3 linked regions of the Medicago truncatula genome follow. The protein of the gene in region 1 interacts with the protein of each later gene in a pairwise test. Links are inferred from orthologs where the notes say so. Each region holds a gene or a part of one and is shown on either strand. Other genes may lie near its edges.

Region 1 (4,945 bases):
CAAAAAAGAAAACATGCTAATTTAATATAAAAAAAACCTTTTTTTCATATTTTTTCTTACAATCTGTTATCATTTTCATTTCAAAAATATTAAATTTCTTCATCTCCTTTATTTGATAGTATGTGATATTTATCACATTTGTTTTAAAATTGAATTTTACTTGTCATTATGGATAAATTATCCTCAATTCAACAAGAAATAATGCAGACCTCACTGATTTTTTCTTCAATCAATTTCCATTTTCATCTAAAAGAACAACAAACTCTTCCATTTCCTTCATTTAATATATAATTTTCATCTTATTTGTTCAGAATTGTATCACACTTGTCTATAACTTCATCTTATTCATTTTCCATGCTCACGATGACGTTTTTTTTTTCTTCCCGTTATTAGTGGTTTTTACATTTGCATTTTGAAAAACAAGTTTTATTTTATTTTTTATTCTGAATCAATTTATGTATTTTTTTTTGGGTTAATTAAGTAAATAGTCCCTATAAATATTCAGAATTTTGTTTTTAGTCCCTACAAAATAAAATCATACTTTTTAGTCCCTATAAAAAATTTCATCAACATTTTTAGTTCCTATAAAATTTTTCCATCAGCATTTTTAGTCCCTGTAAAAATTTTCATCAAGATTTTTGGTCCCTAAAATACTTAAGGAAAATGTCACAGGGACTAAAAAGTGTGATTTTATTTTGTAGGGACTAAAAACAAAACTGTGAATATTTATAAGGACTAAAAACTTAATAAACCCTTTTTTTCTATAATATTTTTAAAAAATGATCATTTCAATTTGTATATTTTAAAAAAGTTTAGATGGTGGCACACCAAAGAACATACTTAAAATTCAATAATTATTAACAAATGCATTTACATCAATGATTAATGTCTCCTTCAAAAAAAAAAAAAATCAATGATTAATGTCACAACTGAATTTCTTTTCTCTCTTTCACCACACTTTTTTGTTTGTTTGTACACTTTGACCAATATCGCCCCAAATATTATATAAGTTGAACCCACAATAAATATATAAAGTGACTATTTGACAATTTTTGTTAGAATTTTGATTATTTTTTACTCTCAATAATAAATATGAAAAATGACCATAATAAATATTAAAGGCAGAAATAATAAAATTTATAAGATAAATAGACAAACAAAAAAGATTTCTTTAAAAACAAAAATTCAAGACGTGTTCTTTCGCATTGGCCAAAAACCAAAAAGACAAAATTCAGATAGACACAAGCTATCTCTGCTTTTCTGCTCCAATTTTCAAAAAAAAAAAAAAAGAAGATATTGACTAGCTTTTCTAACTTCTAAAGTCTAAGCACATTTTTCTACCAACTTAAAGCTTCAATTTGAAGAGGGAGATGATTCCAAATTTGCAGAAGAACAACCCATAAACTGCAGCTCTTTCTTATCAAAAATATCCAAAGAAAAATCTCTTAGCATCTGAGTATTTGTAGCAGAGGATGAAGAAGTAGTAGCAGAACAACTAGTTGAAGTTGCTGAACTCAAACTAGGAGCCAAAGTAGATGAAGCATTAGAATTTGCATAAGCAGTAGCAGCATTTGAAGGTTCTTGTGGCATTTGCATAGCAGAAACAAAATCAGAAATAGGTCTTGTTTGCACATTGAAAAATGGTGCTGCAGGAATAGCCCAAAACTGTGGCTGATTCATTAGAGTTGAATTTGGGAACATGAAAAATGGTCCTGTTGTATTAGACCCAACACCGTTACTTACAACAGGCCATAATGGAACTAAACCACCACCATTTTCACCACTACCACCGCCACTGGAGGTGGCGGCGGCACCGTATGCGGTTTGAGCAATTGGTGCTAATCCCGAACACATTGAAACTTGATCATTCAAGTCAACAAACTCACTGTTTGAAGCTCTTCTTCTTCTCTTCACCGGAGCATCTTCACCGTCTGGTCTCGCCGGAGATGATGTTGGAATCTTTAACGTACCTCCGACGGAAACAGCAATGGCTGGCACCGTTCCGGTGCCAGTTGCTTCAATGATAGAAGGTTCAGCTTGTTCTAACAACCACCGGATTGTTTCTCCGTCGGATTTGTGACCTAGCTCCCTCGTCAGTTGAAAGATTCTGGCGGCGCATGTCGCCGGAATCCTGATTCTCCGACCACGTCCTTCCACCTTCGTGTGACGGTCTTTCGATGACCTCTTCGCCGCCGCCACTGTCATCGTTTGAACCGGCACCGGAATAAGGCTGTTGTTTTCCGTTTCCGTTAGCTCTTCTTTCATTAACGCCGCCGCAGGCTCCGTCGTCTCCGACGGAGATACTTCAGTACTGTCAGTTTTGTTTTCTTCACATAAAACATCGCCGCCGTTAGGGTTCACTTCCATCCTAAACAAAAATTAACAAATAAAAATTTAACAAAGACCCATTAAGGAATGATCAAAACCCAGATGAAAAAAAAAAGAAAAAGATTTCAAATTTAAGAAAAGAAAAAAATCATTTTTTTTGGGGCCTACTTTGTTTTGCAGAGAAACAGAGTTTTTGATACGTTGACTGTGTTTGAATCTTTCAGGCACTGCAAAAGATTAGAAAGACTAATTGAGAATTCGAAGAGGTTTTTGTTAATAAAAAATAAAAAAAAAAAGATAATTGTGTTGATTGAGAGAAACAACAAACCCTAACAATGGTGGAGAGCCCCACATATCCGTGTGGAAGAGAGGGTCCCTCAGGATCAGTATTTATTTGCACAATGAAATAGGATTAATGGCTGGATATACTTTTTACATTAGATGAATGGATGGGATGATGCCACGCAGTTACCTCTTAGTTTTGCTCCTATTTTCCATTTCAAAATAAAAAGTATAATTCATAGTCAACAGTCGTAGATTTCTTCTTAATGGATAAAAAGGAATGTTGTTGAAAAATTTAAATGATACAAATAATCAATATATTTGAAAAGAAGGAAAATTATATTTCTTAATTGGGATGGTGTTTGGAGGCTGCGGGTTCCTCCGAAGGTTAAAAATTTAATATGGAGAATGTGCAGAGATTGTTTGCCGACACATGTTGGATTTTAAGATAAAGCAGTGCATTGCTCTACTAATTGTGTCACTTGCAACAAACCGTTTGAAAACCTTAACGATGTTATTTTCAATTGTTCTTTTGTTGCGCAGGTGTGGCATAGAAGCGAAATTGGCGATACGATTAATAGTGTGCACAACAACACATCTTCGGCAACAGATGCAATATTATCTACCATTTAGGAACTTTCGCGAGACAATTCCCAAAGGTTTGCAGCTCTCTTGTGGAGTTTATGGAAGCACTACAATCTATAGCTACGGTAAGAAGTCACCAAATAGTACCAGAAGTTATTGATCGTGCTTTTCATTTAATCGAAGACTGGAGTTTGGCTAACACCCCTCATATGGCAGCTAAGATGTCGCATGTGCTTCCACAACACACGCTTACTACATTTACCTCAAGTGCATCTAGTGTTGTTTTCTCTCCCACCATTCAGAACAACGAAGTTACTTCAGGTACGACTGAAATTTGTTGGCAAAGACCACAACATGGTCGTTTCTAATGTAACATAGATGCCTTTATTTCGAATCAATTCAATAGAACAAGGATATGTAGTTCTATTCGCAATGACGAATGTGTTTTTGTGCTTGCTAAAGTGATCCCGGTTACCCATGTGTGTCCTATTCCAGTGGGGGGAAGCCTTGGGTCTCTTTTATTCGCATGAATGGATGGGTTACATGGGTTTTGACAATATTAATTTCTCTTTGGATTCCAAGACTGATACTGATGCGTTTAATGGTCATCGCGTTAACATCATAGAGTTTGCCCAGGTTCTCTCTACATGCCGCCGTCTCTTCAACACCAAGTTTACCAACTCTAAGGTCGAGTTTACTCGGAGACAAGTCAATGAGGAAGCTCACCATTTAGCAGGGGTGGCCGCATTATTAGCCAGTCCCATTATTTATACTAATGTACTTCGTTATATTGAACAAATTATTGGTAATGAAATGATATAAACATCATTCTTTTAAAAAAATGCTAGTGATTGTATAAAAAAGAAGACAAATGTTAGTAATCAATTTCTTAAGAAAAGATAAATGTTTTTTGAAATAGAATTGATAGTAGCAGATATTGAGCCCAAAATCTTATATATATATATATATATATATATATATATATATATATATATATATATATATATTGATTTTTTCTAACTCAAATCACCGAGTTATAGACAAAAGAAGAATAAAATTGGTTTGTTTTAACAAAAAATCATGTTTTAAATCCACTTGAGTTAGCATGTTAATGTTTGCTTGGGATCTTAGAGAGTGTACTTTTTTAAAGATCTTAGATCAATTTTTATCAGTATCAATTTAAATGTGCTAGTTTAACTTATTCGAAAAAACAATAATCAAGTTTTTTAATGATATTTCAAGCCACTTTTTTAATTTTTTGTCCTTGATAAAAAAAGTACATACCAATTTTTATGATAATTAGCTAAACAAGAAATGTTAGAGTCCCATCCCATTCATTCAATGCTGATGATATGTTGGTGTTTTATATTGGAAAGTTTGCTAGTCTATGATAGGTTTTTGGAAGTGCACAGTTCTATCGAGTAGTAAAAATATCTATGCACAAGAAATTAAAGTAATTATCAATCTAATTTTTTTAGTTTTGATTAGTTGAAAATGAATAGAGTAATGGTGTTTTAGATTAAAGTTCAGATATTAAAAAACGTCATGGGATTGAAGTTTTCATCATAATGTTAAATCTTAAACATTCTCCATCTATTTCTCTATTTTATAATGAATTTATTCCTAAGGACAAGGTGTTCTTTGGTATTTCATGTTTCATCTCAAAATACATGAATGTATCTCAACAATAATCAAGCTTATCCTCATGGTTTATTATCATTGAGACTCTTTGAGTGCAACCTTATTGTCC
Region 2 (5,640 bases), about 45 Mb from region 1:
TCTTTAAGTCTTCTAGCTTAGCATTCCCTGTGCTTGCTAGGATTCTTTGTGTTTTAAATAATTTTCATTTTAGCTTCTTCAAAAAAAAGATATAGGAAAATTTGTGTATGGGTATAATTGGAATTTAAAAAATTCAGCCTAAAATCTATATCTCCTTCGTATATAATATTGTACCTATAGCAGTGGAATCTTTTCTATTTTTATGGAATTTTATTATTTTATGAGGGTTAGACATCTTCATAAAGTATAAATCCTTAGATGAGAATTCATGAGGCACACGAGATATTAAAGTTAAATGATATATTCATGGCGTTCATAATCTAGTATGAAGGTTATGGAGTAATCGAACATTGTAGCGAGTGGAGCTTTCTTCGCCATTGGGTTTATGTCACGTCATTAAGTGCCCTGCAATCGCCTTGACTCGCCATGGCAAGGCTATTGCTCGCTATGGGAAGGTTTTGTTTTCCTGAATTCCTGAGTTTCTGGAACTGCTACTTCCACTCACTTCTTGGCTCCCCATGGCGAGTTGGTACGCCATGGCCTCGTTGTGGCTTGCTTGAGACTTCTGAAAACTGGATTTTCTGGAACTCCTCGCTGCAAGCTCGATTTTAGCTCGCCATGGCGAGTTAGCTCGCTCCTTCCTCACTGTGGCAAGGCTTGGACTTATGAAATTGTAAACTTTCTAACTTAGCTCGCCTTGTCCTCGCCCTGTGCTCGCTATGGCGAGCTAACCTTTGCAAATCTTCAAGTTTCTTTGTTGAATTCTTGTCTTGTTCATCATTTTCCTGCACAATGGAATAAAGTAAGGTATAAAAAGCATAAATAGACATTTGTGCATAAATTCTTGGCATTTCCATGAATAACTTGTAAAACAAGTAATCAAAAGTGCTTAATATATAACATAAATTTACTACTTTCTACCACTTATCAATTCACTGTTGTAGTGAAACATAAATTTATTGAGGGTCTTAGTTATTGTTCATGATGTTTTTGGGAACAATGTTACATTTTTTTAATATTTAAAGGTTTCTTCAAGACAAAAGACTTGATATCTAAAATAATTGATTACATACAGTTTTGAGACAAAAGAGTTTGTTTACATACAGTTTTGAGTAGCAATATTTTATTACTTATTTGATTTGATGACAAGCTTTATGACAATCTTATTATTGTTGATCTAAATCAATTAAAAAAAATTAAACAAAATGATAAAATCATAGTATAAACAAGAAAGTACATTATAAAAAAATTATCATAAAATAATTATACAAATATCATATTTTTATAACAATACAGTAGAGGTGTGAAAGTATAATCAAGATGCATATATTAAAATTAAATTATAATTATTTTAACAATATATATGCACCCCACATGACACAACTTAATAGTTTCGTTTGAACTATGTAATAAACAATTCTAGAAAAAATCTATGTAATAAAGAATAGGAAATGCTAACAAGTGCCCTCAAAGTAATGGTTAAGGAAGTAAATAATCTCCTATTGAAATTTGTGCATTCAACTCCTTAAAAGTTTAAAAAGTGATATTTTCAACTTAATTTTATTTTTTGATTTCCTTAACCATTATCCTGCGGGCACTAATTAAGGAAGCAATTGATCAAGAACCCCGAAAAGGAAAATCAATTAGGAGACAAACTACAGAGAATTAATAGCAAAGAAAACTAACTTTAGCAAATAAAGCAAAGAAATTAAAAAAATATAAACCTAGCTACACTACACTGCATTTGGCTTTTAAAATATTTAAATGAGTCGCGCTAACCATTGCTCTCAAAGCAATAATTATAGAAGCTTTGCATTAGTTTCAACAACATTTTAATTTTTAAAAAGTTAAATTTATCACTTTTTACTATTTTCCAATGTTATATTTTTATTTTTATTTCCTTATCCAATGTTCCGAAGGCAATGATTAACATTCTCTAATTTAAATATATCTTCATATTTATTTCTATCAACCAAACAAAGTCTTGTCAACCACCCCCATCTCCAAGACATTGCCGGTTTGGACTAAAGCCACCACTCTCTCCTCTCTCTCTAATCTTTCTCTTCTTCGTACAACAACACATCATGTGAGAGTTTTGCTGGTTTCTACTTGCTCCACCCTGTCAATGCCCAAAATCTATAAGCTCCAATCATCTTCACTCATCTCTCAACCTCTTAAACTTTTGGCTTTTGAAACTTCTTGGACCCCTTCACCCCAACACACACAAAATTACACTTGTGTTGTCCCTAAATTTCATTCATTATATAAACAATCTCAAAGATGGTTTTCATTAGGGTTTCAATTAAGTTCTTGACCTTTCCATAATTTTTATTACTCTATAAAACAACAAAGTAGGGTTTTTTCATTTTCCCTATATTTTGAGAATTGAGTTGAGTGAGAGAGTTAAACATATATGATATTTGGTTTCTTAAATTTGAGTTAAATGGAGGAATACACTAATAATCCAAATCCAAATCCAAATTCAAGGCCAAATTTCTTATACTCCATTGCTAGTGGAAACAACCAACACCAACACCAACACAATCATCAACATAATCAGATTCCAATGAACAACTTTCATGGATCAGACAATTGTTTTCAGTCTGATCAAGTACAACATCAACAACACTCTGCTGTGAAAACTGAAGCAAATAGTACTTCACAACTTCACACTCCGATTTTTCATTACCCAGCTTTAATGAGAACAAATATTATTCCACACACCAATATTATGCATAACCATCATCATCAAGGAGGAGGAGGGAGTCCAAGCAGTTCTAATGTTGAAGCTGAAGCTATAAAAGCCAAAATCATTGCTCATCCTCAATATTCTAGTCTTTTACAAGCTTACATGGATTGTCAAAAGGTCACTAATTAATTATTATTTTTATTCATTTTCATCATTATAACAATTTATTTTTCTTAACCCTTCCCTTCAAGATAAGTAAAATACTATAATCAATAATTAATGATTGTTTCAGTCAAGAATTAAATTTGGACTCCCACCATCATGATAACAATTTAAATAAGCATACCCCATTTTTTATATATATATTTTTAATTTTTATATTAATTAATTGCTATCTCTCTCTAATTAAACAAATTATATGTAGATTGGAGCTCCACCGGAAGTGGTGGCTCGTTTGGTTGCGTCTAGGCAAGAATTTGAAGCACGGCAAAGATCTTCAGTTAACTCGAGAGAAACTTCTAAAGATCCAGAACTAGACCAATTCATGGTACAAGGGGGTATTTTTTGTTTTAGTTTATGTTTTTTTTCTTTCTAGAATTAAAATTATTTTCGTTGGGTTTTTATCTTGATAATCAATAAGTTTAAATTATGTCGGCAAAAATCTAGTTGATTACTGTATCTATATTTATAGAACTTATAGATTGTGGTTTTGGACGTTGAAATGGTGTTTATGTTTATGTTTAACAGGAAGCATATTATGATATGCTTGTGAAGTATAGAGAGGAATTAACAAGGCCTATACAAGAGGCTATGGATTTCATGAGAAGAATAGAAACACAGCTAAATACACTTTGCAATGGACCCCTTCGGATCTTCCCTGGTGAGTAGTAGTAGTACTTTATCTTTTCTCTTAATATATTCAATTCAATATTCATTCTCAATAGTTTTGTTTTATTATATTACTAATATCACTGAAATTAAAACGAGGTCATTAATTAATTCTGGATTATTGACTATTAAGAGTAATGTGACTGATGTGTGAGTGACGGGTTGTGAAAGCTCTTGAAATTCGTAAACTCGAGTGTTTCTGAACATAGCCTGGAAATTTTGACCAAAAATCTCACATGCTTTCAAATCGTGGGAGCAGAAGGGTAGGGGACCCATATAACTGAAGATGATATTTCTTCATCATCTACAGAACCCTAATCGCTAGTACTTTCTAAATATGATATTTTTTTTTATTTTTATTTTTTTTATAAAAAATATCACATTTACTGGTATGTTTCTAGAGGCTGTATTTGTTCATACTTCACGACTCCAGACGAATTTTTTACTATTTCATTTTTTATTGTTGCTAAAACCCAAATCCACACGTTGGCGTCTCCATGTTAGGCTTCTATTTCCCAAGCTAGCTCCTGAGTTCTGACTGACAATTATTCTTCTAGGGTTTCCATGTTAATCAATGTATTTTACTGACTAAAACTCTCGTGTTTATCGGTTTCGAAGGATTCATTGGGTTTTGTGGAATTACTACTCTTTCTCATCATTACATTGGTCAGTTTTTCGGCCGTCTTACCGCTAATGCCGTTTTAATCACTTTTTAATTTTCTCTTTTCTTTTGCATTCTTTCTTAAAAAACACATTGGATGCCGTTCCAATCCAACCCCAACATAGGAGTACTAGTAGTGTTAGGAGTTTTTAGTGCCATTTTTTTTTTTTTTTTTTTTGTAGAAAGGAGTTTTTAGTGCGATTGTGCCTTTGTTTTTAAGTAAATGCTAACTTGAGCCTTCAAGGCACATGTTAAGATACTTATTATAAAAATACACATATTAAAAGGTGTGCATTCAACTTCTTAAAAATTGTCATATTGTGTTTTCCGATGTAAAATTGTTCTTTTTAAGTTGCTTAACATGAATCCAATACAAACATAGTCACTACTTTTGGTTTCTTTAACAAGTGTCCTAAGAACATCTACAATGGATCCTCAATTTTGAGTTCTTAAACGGGTTCCACGTGAACACATCACTATTTTAATAACCGTACTTAATAAGTATTGAGTCACTCCAATGGAGTCCCTCTGACAAAAGGTCTAAATTGATCCAACCACTAACTCTTCATCATTTATATTCCAACAATATAATGATTATTTTAATAAAAAGCAGCGTGGGATCCACTTAAGAATGAGAGTCTTAATTCTCGAGTCTTAGGTACCGGATCTTAAATAGTGAAGACATCACTATTGTGGATTGTCTAAAGGCACTTATTAGCATAACCCTTTATTTTAATCATTTATCTATTATTCTCTTTCATTTAAATCATTTATCCAACATTCTCATCCATATAAAAAAACGAAATACACGTAATGATATCAAAGGAAAAAGCACCAAAGTTTTTCCATTAAGTTAAAATGATCTTCATTTATACTCCCTCTGTCCCATAATAAGTGAATATTTTGTAAAATAAATTGTTCTAAAATAACTGACCAATTTCACTCTTCAATACATTATTAATTACTTTTTTTTCTTTCAATTTTAACTATAATTAATATTACTTTTATCACTCCTAATTCAATATATTCTACTTTGCGTTTGTGATTATGGTAAATGCAAAAATACTTCACAAGAGCACTTAAAACTATTTTTCTCTCCCCTTCACTAATACATTTTTCTTAATAAGTGTGAAATGGACAAAAGACTCATCTAAATTGGGACAAAGGGAGTAAGTATTTTCATTTCTTTGATTAAAAAAAAAATTATGCTAACTACTCCCTTCGTGTCATAATTATTGTCTCTTCAGCATATTTTATTTTTCTCAAAATAATTGTCACTTTACAATACCAATGCAACATTATTTATTTTTTCCACTATTATATCCTTATTTATTGAATTTCATTCAACTTAATTACTCCACTAACTATCATTAATGATGGTATTTTAGCATTGAAATCAACA
Region 3 (4,308 bases), about 45 Mb from region 1:
ATATTATATGTATGAAGGAAAAAACTGAATACACCAACTGTCAAGTTGCTTCTTGCCGCCTTTCAAATAACATTAAACTATATAAAAAAGAACATAATATTGTTCATATACGTTGTTCAAGTCCCAATAATATAAGAGAGTTATATATGAACTTTTCTAGCCATATATTTTCACACTTCACATGTTTCTCAAGGTTGATCCCAAAGTCATCACGAGATTTTCTCAGTTCTTGTTTCTCCAATTGCCGTTGAATTAATTAAGGGTTTGACATTTATTTAAGCCATACAAAAATATGCTTTTATTTTAACTCAACTACCATCATCCACCCACGGTTGACACAAAATAGTTTTTTTTTTCTTTTTTTTCACTCCCACTTTAAACAAATAGATCCAAAATTGACCATTGTTTTTTGCCAATAAAATTGACCATTTCTGAACTTTTAATTTCATGTCTAATTACTACTAGAAAAGCCTAACAATCAAGAAATCCATTTCAATAATATGCAACCAAATTAAACCGCTTGTTATTATAATCATGTTTACAAACTACACAAACTTAACTGATATCAAAATCAAATGCCTCAACTTGTACATATTTCTTAAAAAAAAAGTCTCAACTTGTATATATGCTTAAACACGCCACTAGCAAAATTTATCATCATTACCTTAAACCAAGCATATTACTTAACGAAGACGAAAATGAAAAATCTTATTAAATATTTAATTAGGACTCATTCCACGTCAAGCAAACTTAGAATCTATATCAATATTCCTGTTAGATTCTAACCAATTACAAACGTAAAGGGTTTAACCGCTACACATTCATAGTTTAAATTAAAATTGCACGACATTTAGAACTGAAGTAAAGGCTTTAACGATACATCGTATCGATAATTACATTTACTAATTAGCATGCTCTCATTATATAAAGTATTATTGACAATTATAATCATCAAATCTTTAAAATATTTTACATTAATTTTAAGTGTTTAAAACAAAAGATTGTACATTAAAATTAACCTCCATATAACTTGATTGGTAAAATAAAAGATATATCAATATTATTATTTGATGATTTGAAGAAGATTATATAAGAAGAATGAAAATGAAACATGCATTATAATACTTAATACTAATTAGTAACAACTATTGAACTTGAACATAAAGAGTCCATAAATGGATGATCCTAAAATAAACTAAAACATCAAATATTGATTATATATTATTGTCCATGCATGGAAGAACATGAACTCATAGCAACAACTCCAAGTTTCTGAAGATTAAGCTTGACAACAGTGTCAACAAACATCTTGGTATCTTCTTCAGTGTTCCCATGTGGAATATCAACAATATAAGATTCCAAAACAATAGTATAAACCTTACCTTCATTGTTGACAAACTCATTAACCGAAGTAACCGAACGATAGTTTTGAAGACGATGTTCACCACCAACAACTCTAAAACTTATTACATGTTTTTCATCATCCAAAATCTCTAATCTTTCGGTACTTGTCGAAGCCGGTAAACCCGAAACAACGGTAACTTCTCTAATGCTACCAACGTTTCCATCACCTTTCATGTTGCAACCTTTGATGAAATGTTTGTATTTTTGTGGATTCTCAAAGCTTCTAACATATGGCCACACTATGCTTGATGGTGCTTCTATTTTGTAGGTTATGATTGAAGTGCATGTGTTTGAGGTTGGTTCTAATATGTGGTATTTTTTTATGATTGGTTCGAGTTCTTTGTATTCTTCTTCTGTTAGACCTTGAATATTATGCACCGAAGCCATTTTGTGTGTGTTTTTCTTATTGCTTTGGGGGGTGTCAAAAGCAAATATCATTCAAGAAGAAGAAGAAGAAGAAAAGTAGTGGACAAAAAACATTATATGCAAAAACAAAGCATGAAGATGTGAACACTTACATATTTATATTAATGTTTGGTGTTTGTTATTTTTCTTGTTTTAGACGGATATGCCCTTGACTGTTCATTTTTATTAATTTTATAATGCAAAAACTATGTACGTCACTAAGGAATCAGACCCCTGGGTTAATTTGTTTATTTATAGTTTACAATTTTCCATAGATATTTTTAGTAAAAAGTGTGTATATGTGTTTGTGGTTCTTTTTTAATGTATATAATATATTTTATTTAATTTGCTTACCTATTAAGTAAGGGAGAGGATTCATAGGGTGGAATTTTTCTAGCTTTAGCTGCATGAGGAAAGGTGTTGTCTCTACTCTAACATTTTTTTAAACATAAAAATATATACTCTCCAAATATTGCATATTTTTTGGAGCTTATTCGGTGGTACTTTTGAGGGTTGTATATATTTTTTTATTTTTTCTGTGGTCTCGTTATTATACATAACGACAAGCAATTTTTTAATAACTACTTGTTGTGCGTCATGTTGACCACTACTTTTCCATTCATTCTTACATTTCTTTTTGTATAAGTGATGAGATAGGTTTAGGATAAGTCAAAAATATGGATTACTTTAATGATATTAATATTATTATTACTACTACATTTTTTTAATATTATTTATGCTTTTTTGTTTATACCATATTACCATGCATGCCCATACCTATAGGTAGTGGTAGATTTATATATATATTTTTTGAATAAAGTGGTAGATTTATATTTGTAGTAGCATTATAACCGAACTATATATTTTTTTTTATAGTATATCGTATTTACTATTGGTTTTGGTGGAGCATATAGAAAATATGCATGGCTTTTCAGAAAGGATGGAGATTGTGATTTTAATGCAAGAGTAAGGGTAAGATTGGATATATAATAAGATGAGAAATAAGAAGAAGAAATAGTCGCAATCGTTGAAAAGGGCAAGTTGGATATTCACGAATCATGTGAAGGCTCTAACAAACTGTCCGTGTGATCTAAACTTCACTTTGCAGCATAGTTTTCTATCAAAGCAAATAAAGTAAGGGTACCAAAATGAGTGGACAATGGACCAACCATATTAATCATTCAATAAAAAAAAGATTAATTATAAAATATGTATACTAGTTGGATATTATTGTGGTCCAAATTCAATCCGATTTGAAAATTCACATATATAGATAGATTGGGTCAATTTATTGGCTCAAAAATATTTTAATTTTTATAATTGGTCATCTAAGTTATATTTATATGTATATGGTAGATCTAGCACATTGACTTTTGTTTTAGTATTTGTTGGTTGTTAATGCATTCATTGCATTTAATTTTTTTATTTCTATTATTATTATTTTTTTTTTGAAGAATTTATTATTATTATTATTATTATTGTAAAGTTAAATAGACTCTTAGTTTATGTAAAATAAGCAAAAATTTGGTTTTGGTTATTTTTTTAATAGTTTTTATAGCATTAAATTTTATAAATGTAGCTTTTGATTCCACCACCATGTTGCATTCATTAACTACTGTCATCCTTTTGTCAAAAAAATAAATAAATTAACTACTGTCATCCTAGGTTATGTTGAGTAACATATCCCATTATTCTTCTATTTATTTCTTCTTTGTTCAATTTGTCAAAAAAAAAAAAAAAACTTCTTTGTATATATTGCATTATATTTTACAATGTTATTGACATGCTTTCTATAGAGTCACCCAGCACTACTAAAGAAATATTAATTTCTTTTTGCAATAACAAACATGTTATCAATATTGTGTCGGGAGTCTTATGTGCCGATCGCTTTTGATTCGAGTTCGGGAGTAAGTTTGTGACTCAGGTCCTTTTAGGCTGTTGTGATGTCTCCTCCGATAGACCGGATCTTGAGTGGTGGTCGAAGCTGAACGTTTGAAGCAAAATCACTATCGGGTGCCTAATTGATCATTGTTGGCGGTGTTGGTTCTTTGAGGAGTTGTTATGGGATTCGGCATTTTGAGGGTGCTGGTGGTTTTTCTTTGGGGGTTTTTGGTGTTTTTATTTTCTCTTTTTGGTGTAATACTTGGGATTTAATCCCCTTATATATATAAATATATTTTGCCATTAAAAAATAAATAAATATAAACTACATAAGTGGTGAATCCATGAACAAACACATAACATCCAAGTTAATAACATACAGTGACAAAATACCTACAAATAATATGATAAAATTAATCTGACTGAAATTTGGATCTGCAACGTTCACGCCCAAATCATTCATTGAATGATCGATTTTTCAATAAGAATCAAAGGAACATCGCAACATGACGAGAAATCAAACAATATCACATAAGACGACAAACAACACATCGTCGCACTCAAACGACGAAATCACAAAGAAATAAACCTAGATTTATATGAAAATCACTTATTATT

The links.
Region 2: the proteins of transcription factor TCP19 (region 1) and homeotic protein knotted-1 interact in binary tests that used the Arabidopsis thaliana proteins (3 or more experiments, as listed by UniProt). The link is inferred for Medicago truncatula from reciprocal best matches to the Arabidopsis thaliana genes AT5G51910 and KNAT1.
Region 3: the proteins of transcription factor TCP19 (region 1) and abscisic acid receptor PYL2 interact in binary tests that used the Arabidopsis thaliana proteins (3 or more experiments, as listed by UniProt). The link is inferred for Medicago truncatula from reciprocal best matches to the Arabidopsis thaliana genes AT5G51910 and PYL2.

Annotation. Positions count from the first base shown.
Region 1 is NC_053042.1:49,608,559-49,613,503, reverse strand, and holds transcription factor TCP19, read right to left. Parts: upstream 2,793-4,945; 5' UTR 2,657-2,792; exon of another isoform or gene 2,650-2,656; intron 2,632-2,649; exon of another isoform or gene 2,556-2,631; 5' UTR 2,497-2,555; intron 2,369-2,496; 5' UTR 2,368-2,368; coding exon 1,354-2,367; 3' UTR 1,312-1,353; exon of another isoform or gene 1,263-1,311; 3' UTR 1,185-1,262; downstream 1-1,184. Other genes in the region: uncharacterized protein, read left to right, coding at 3,044-3,320, 3,412-3,516, 3,658-3,725.
Region 2 is NC_053042.1:4,715,791-4,721,430, forward strand, and holds the start of homeotic protein knotted-1, read left to right. Parts: upstream 1-1,976; 5' UTR 1,977-2,443; coding exon 2,444-2,866; intron 2,867-3,113; coding exon 3,114-3,236; intron 3,237-3,436; coding exon 3,437-3,569; intron 3,570-5,640. UniProt on the Arabidopsis thaliana protein: May play a role in meristem function, and may be involved in maintaining cells in an undifferentiated, meristematic state, and its expression disappears at the same time the shoot apex undergoes the transition from vegetative to reproductive development.
Region 3 is NC_053042.1:4,458,508-4,462,815, reverse strand, and holds abscisic acid receptor PYL2, read right to left. Parts: upstream 1,927-4,308; 5' UTR 1,843-1,926; coding exon 1,222-1,842; 3' UTR 1,113-1,221; downstream 1-1,112. UniProt on the Arabidopsis thaliana protein: Receptor for abscisic acid (ABA) required for ABA-mediated responses such as stomatal closure and germination inhibition. Inhibits the activity of group-A protein phosphatases type 2C (PP2Cs) when activated by ABA. Can be activated by both (-)-ABA and (+)-ABA.